Regions from separate parts of the Mus musculus genome. Here region 2 is reported to be linked to region 1. The links are microRNA targets in miRTarBase. Many come from high-throughput screens and were not tested one by one. Region 1 holds a microRNA gene; the other region holds the end of a gene's coding sequence.
Evidence for each region. Region 1 holds the annotated microRNA mmu-miR-3087-3p (UAACUCACUGUCAUGUCCUCA, at 1,495-1,515, shown strand). A microRNA usually pairs through its seed, bases 2 to 8, with sites in the 3' UTR of a target mRNA and lowers its output. Matches are read on the target gene's strand: a 7mer-m8 pairs with bases 2 to 8, a 7mer-A1 pairs with bases 2 to 7 and ends in A, and an 8mer does both.

Region 1 (3,125 bases):
TACATCCTGCCCAGCGAGGCCGTCAAGAAGGGGGCCTTCGAGCGCCTCTTTCAGGTGTGTGGGGCTGGCTGTGGTGGCTAGGGACACGAGGGGCCCGGAGAGAAGAAGGACACGTCGCTGCCTGCGTTCCGTGGCGCTGCCTTACCCGATCTCTTTGCAGCAACTGGAACACAGCCTGGATGCGCTCCATCTGAGCAGTTTTGGGCTGATGGACACAACTCTGGAGGAGGTGTTCCTCAAGGTGTCTGAAGAAGATCAGTCACTGGAGAACAGCGAGGCTGGTAAGAGCACCCAAGGCTGGCGGTCTGTCCAGCTACCCACAGAAGGCCCTGGGGACACTGCTTCTCTGTAAGTCTCTGGAAGTGGGGTCAGGATAGGCTCGTGGTGGATGGTATGGTAGCTCTGCCTACCTGTGAGTAGGTATGTGAATTAGAGGCTGGGATCAAGGCAGGGCCTGGGGTTATGGGAGGACACTAGGGACTGAGGTACTAAGATGTCCTGGAGAGGAGAGCCTTGGCCCAAGCCTTCCCTCCCTCACCGCCTCTGTTGTTTGCAGATGTGAAGGAGTCCCGGAAGGATGTGCTGCCTGGGGCAGAGGGCCTGACAGCTGTGGGGGGTCAAGCTGGCAACCTGGCTCGGTGCTCAGAGCTGGCACAGTCACAGGCATCGCTGCAGTCTGCATCCTCTGTGGGCTCTGCCCGTGGGGAGGAGGGCACCGGCTACTCTGATGGCTACGGTGACTACCGTCCCCTCTTTGACAACTTGCAGGACCCAGACAATGTCAGCTTACAAGGTGGAAGCCAATGGGGAAACTGGGGAGGGTCCAGAAGGGTGGCGTGGGACTGGCTATTTACCTCTGCCTCTCTGCACAGAGGCAGAGATGGAGGCCCTGGCTCAGGTGGGCCAGGGCAGCCGCAAACTCGAGGGCTGGTGGCTGAAGATGCGGCAGTTCCATGGGCTCCTGGTGAAGCGCTTCCACTGTGCTCGTCGGAACTCCAAAGCTCTCTGCTCTCAGATTCTGCTGCCTGCCTTCTTTGTCTGTGTGGCCATGACTGTGGCGTTGTCTGTCCCTGAGATTGGTAAGGGTGCCTGGCCCATGTGGTCTGGGGCGAGGCTACTGTCTTGCCCCTGGGTCTTGGCTTCATTTTTCTCCCAGCCCCCTGTAGAACAGTCCTGAGCTCCTCTCCTCACACTCTGAACCTTACTCAGGGGCTCATGAGAGGATCTGTCTCCTTAGGAGTCATCCCCACAAGCTCAGCCCTCTCTGTGTTAGGGCTGGGGCTGGCATCAGATAACTGCAGTCTGCTCAGGTCTCCGTATTCACCCATCAGGTGACCTACCTCCACTGGTCCTGTCACCCTCTCAGTACCACAACTACACCCAGCCCCGTGGCAACTTTATCCCTTATGCCAATGAGGAACGCCAGGAGTACCGGTGAGGCCGTGGGCTGGGGCTGTAGCACAGGGCAGGGCAAGAGTTGAGACTTATGGCTCCTAACTCACTGTCATGTCCTCAGATTACGGCTGTCACCTGATGCCAGCCCCCAGCAGCTGGTGAGCACATTCCGGCTGCCCTCTGGTGTGGGTGCCACTTGTGTGCTCAAGTCTCCTGCCAACGGCTCCCTGGGACCCATGCTGAACTTAAGCAGTGGAGAGTCCCGCCTGCTGGCGGCACGGTTCTTCGACAGTATGTGCCTGGAGTCCTTCACACAGGGGCTGCCACTGTCCAACTTCGTGCCACCTCCGCCCTCACCCGCCCCTTCTGACTCACCCGTGTCCCCAGATGAGGATTCACTGCAAGCCTGGAACATGTCCCTGCCACCTACTGCTGGGCCAGGTACTACCTCAGGGAAGGCTCCGGGGGGCACAGGCATGAGTGACCCATCTCATTGTGCTGCACTGTGCCCACAGAGACGTGGACGTCGGCGCCTTCTCTGCCACGCCTAGTGCATGAGCCAGTCCGCTGTACCTGCTCTGCACAGGGCACGGGGTTCTCATGCCCCAGCAGTGTGGGTGGACACCCACCCCAGATGAGAGTGGTCACAGGTGACATCCTGACTGACATCACTGGCCACAATGTTTCTGAGTACCTGCTCTTCACCTCTGACCGTTTCCGACTACACCGGTAAGTTGGCCTGAAGTGGCTGTGAACAAGGGGTGCCTGGCAGATGGCTGCCGAGCCTCAGTGACCCTCCCACCTGTCTTGTACAGATATGGAGCCATCACCTTTGGTAATGTTCAGAAGTCTATCCCAGCATCCTTTGGTGCCCGGGTCCCTCCTATGGTGCGGAAGATTGCAGTGCGGAGGGTGGCTCAGGTAGGCGGCTGCCCTTGGGTTTTGGGCACCTGGTCCTAAGCCTAATAACTTTTGGTTTCTGAGCCTCTCTGAGGTCCTTGCCCCTCCCCAGGTGCTCTACAATAACAAGGGCTACCACAGCATGCCCACCTACCTCAACAGCCTCAACAATGCCATTCTGCGTGCAAACCTACCCAAAAGCAAGGGCAATCCAGCAGCCTATGGTAAGGAGAATCAGGGTTGAAGGACAGGCAGGGATGCAGCTGAGCCGAATGGTTGCATGGACCTAAAGCTACCCTTTTCCCGTGTGCAGGCATCACCGTCACCAACCACCCCATGAACAAGACCAGTGCTAGCCTCTCCCTGGATTACCTGTGAGTGAGGCAGACCAAGTTGAGGAGGGGCAGGACCACCTCGTCCTGACACCTCCTGGAACTGAGTGCTGTCCCCTTCTAGACTGCAGGGCACAGATGTGGTCATCGCCATCTTCATCATTGTGGCCATGTCCTTCGTGCCAGCCAGCTTTGTGGTCTTCCTTGTGGCAGAGAAATCCACCAAGGCCAAACACCTGCAGTTCGTCAGCGGGTGCAACCCTGTCATCTACTGGCTGGCCAACTACGTGTGGGACATGGTGTGCCCCCGCATGGTCCCTCCCTGTCCCTGACTCCCATCCCTACGCCCGGGTCTCATCCTCCACCTTCACCTTTGCAGCTCAATTACCTGGTCCCAGCCACCTGCTGCGTGATCATCCTCTTTGTCTTTGACTTACCTGCCTACACATCACCCACCAACTTCCCCGCGGTGCTCTCCTTGTTCCTGCTCTATGGGTG
Region 2 (3,067 bases), not on the chromosome of region 1:
CTTGGGGTGGGGTGGAGGCTGGTCCACATAGGCCTCCTGCTTTTTCCTACAGCCCTTTCTGGGGCCCTTACCTCTGGACCTGCAACCCATGTTCAGTTGTGCCTTCATCCTAGAGTGCAGCCTGGGATTAGCAAGCATGGGGTCTTGCAACTGCCTTCAGTTGCAAGGAGACATAGCCAAGACCTGTGGTGGGTAACAGACCGGGTTCCCCTGCTCTGTCTGAGCACTACCTTACAGAAGTTCCACTGGAAACCTTTATGAGGTCCAGAAGCAGCAAGCCAAACTAGGACTCCAGAGTCCTGTCAAGTCTGTCAAGTCCTGTCACTTCTTACTGTGCTCTCTCTCCATAGGGCAGCCGTGCAGAGAGTAGTTGCTGCCATGAACCAGATGGACCAGAAGAAACACGAGAAGTTTGCAAACCAATTTAATTATGCGCTGAAGTAAAAGGGTGTGGGTGTGCTGAATATGCTGTGGTCCCCTTTGGCCGTCAGCTCTTCTCCGTTCGTTAGCTTACTAGGATAGGAAGGAGAATAGACTTAAGTCTGAGTAGAATCAGAGCTTGTTTTTTCTGTATGTAACAATGTAGTGATGCATTAAAATACTCTCCAGGAGGCCAGGGGATATGGTTTAGTGGTGAGGCCAGGGTTTGATTCCCAACCATTTTAACCACACATGTGGTACCTCACCTGTAATCCCAGCACTTGGACATAAACAGGACCTGAATCCTAGGCCAGTATGGATAACAGAGCAAGACTGCTTGAGAAACAAGAACAAAAAGCCAGATGAGGTGACGCACACCTGTAATTTTTACACTTAACAGGCAGGGCAGGAAGATCAATACAAGTTCAAAGCTAACCTAGTTGCCAGGCATGGTAGGCACATCTTTAATCCCAGCACTCAGAAGGCAAGGCAGGTGGATCTCTGAGTTTGAGGCCAGGCTGTTCTACAGAGTGAGTTCCAGGACAGCCAGGGCTACACAGAGAAACCCTGTCTTTAAAACAAACAAACAGCTAAGCTAGTCTAAGTTGTAAATTCTAAGCCAGCCAAACTTACATAAGCAGAGTATGTCTCTGAGGGAAAAAAATATCCCTTCAGGATGACGTACCTGCATTGGAGTTGGATAGGGGCAGGCACTCCATCTGGCCAGCCCTTGGGCAGTAAGTGTGTCCCTAGTGGTGCTATGTACTTTATGATGCCTTCAGCAATCCACCCTTTCATGCATATGCTGTTTAATACACATGTCCAGCTCCTGGCACCACTCTGGACCAGGTGTGTTGAGCCCTAACTCACATACCATGTAGTCACCCAGGTTATGCACAGTGTATAACAAGTGACTCCACTGGCTTCCAGAACTTTAGTGTTCAGACAAACTGCCTGACCACCTCGAAGCCCGCTTTCTCTTTCCATGCCTATGCATTTAGAGTAATTGGGTCTGCGGCTTTTGTTTTTGTTTTGAGATGTGGTCTCTTTATGTAGCTCTGGCAGTCTTAGAGCCCACAGTGTAGACCAGGCTGGTCTCCAACTCAGAGATCCTCCTGCCTCTGCCTCTTCAGTATTGAGATTAAGGGCGTGTACGATGGCTCCTGGCTGAGTATGCCCTTCTGTTCCAGCTTCTTTGCCTTTGAAGTTTCTTCCATGTTGTGATAGCAGTCCTTCAGTCCTGCTTCTTACACACACGGACCTCAGCAGAGGACAAGGGAGGTGGCTCAGCAGGTAAAGCACTTGCATGTAATTATGAGGACTGAGTCCATATAAAAGTCAAGTGGTTATGGTAATCTGCTTGTAATCCTGCCCTTGGTGAGAGGAGACAGGATCTCTGGGGCAAACTCAGTAAGGAGACTAGCCAAAATCAGTGCATTCTGGATTCAGCAAGAGACTCCGCCTCTGTAAATAGAGTGGAGAACAGTGAAGGGAAACACTCAACTACAACCTTTGGCCTATAATATGAAAATTCACATATGCCCATAGACATCTGCCCACACATAGGTAAACACACACACACACAAAATCACAGTGAATGGAGTCATATTTTGTCATTGCCACACCCACCCTCTCATTTGAGACATGGTCTCTCTTTGGAACCCTGACTGTCCGGTAACTCATTTTGTAGATCACGCTGGCCTCCAATTCAGAGATCCTCCTGCTTCTGCCTCCCAAGCCCCGGGACTAAAGGCGCCACCATGGCCTGTCTCCATGGATTTGTTATTGATGTTTGGTCTGTTCCTACCTTAGGGCTACCGTGAATATCTGTGCTTTTTTGTGTGTGGACAACTGTTTCTGTACATCACCGATGCGTATAGTAACCTCCTTGTGAGGGGCTAAGCTGTTGGATGGTGGCTGCACCATTTACACTCACTCTGCTCTGCTTCCTGAGGGCTTCATGCCATCACTGGTGTCTTTGTTTCTTTTGCTTTTCTGAGAATTCTATACAAGAGGACTGTGCTCACATCATTTCCACCTCTCCTGCCTTCTCCAGGTTCTCCCATGCCCTTTTTTCAAATTCATGATCTCTTCTTTGTCATCACATATGAAGACAGTTGCTGTTATCTTTAGCAGTCATTCTCACCGTCATGTTCTGGGAGGCAGCTAAGGGCAACAACATTCACCTATGTCATTTTGATAGTCTCTTAACTCCCTGGCCACAACTTAGGAGATTTCCTGTTCGTATACATGGACTTTTGTTAAATAGTGTCTACTTAAGGATTTTTTTAAAATCACATGATTATCTCAATAGATGCAGAAAACACCTTTGACAAAATCCAATATAATAAAATAATAAAAGTCCTAGAGAGACTAGGAACAGGGAACATGTAAAGGAAACCCATCAAAACAACAGCTGATTCCCAGTGGAAGTTGTAAAAGGCAGAAGAGTCTGGACCAGGGTACTTCAAGGTCTAAAAGACCATGGATACCAACTTACAGTACTGTACCCAGCATAACTTCCTGCCATAGTTGAAGGAAAGAGGAAAATGCTCTGTGGTATAAACACGCCAAAAGAATTCATGCCCACCAAACTGGTCCTAGAGAGGATACCAAAAGCAATTCTTTAGACTGAAGAGAGGAAAAA

Region 2: miRTarBase lists Uvssa as a target of mmu-miR-3087-3p. Seed matches in the 3' UTR shown: 7mer-m8 at 951-957.

What each region holds. Positions count from the first base shown.
Region 1 is chr2:25,441,319-25,444,443 of GRCm38, forward strand. Mir3087 (microRNA 3087) reads left to right here and starts at 1,461; the gene lies at 1,461-1,516. Abca2 (ATP-binding cassette, sub-family A (ABC1), member 2) reads left to right here. Exons shown (of 49, transcript NM_001368624.1): 25 at 1-54; 26 at 161-281; 27 at 557-793; 28 at 873-1,079; 29 at 1,332-1,434; 30 at 1,517-1,836; 31 at 1,911-2,124; 32 at 2,211-2,316; 33 at 2,408-2,519; 34 at 2,609-2,669; 35 at 2,752-2,926; 36 at 3,007-3,122.
Region 2 is chr5:33,414,448-33,417,514 of GRCm38, forward strand. Uvssa (UV stimulated scaffold protein A) reads left to right here. Exons shown (of 14, transcript NM_001081101.2): 14 at 351-3,067. The coding sequence ends at 444. Among named protein-coding and RNA genes, the nearest start is that of Nkx1-1, 18 kb to the right of the region's middle.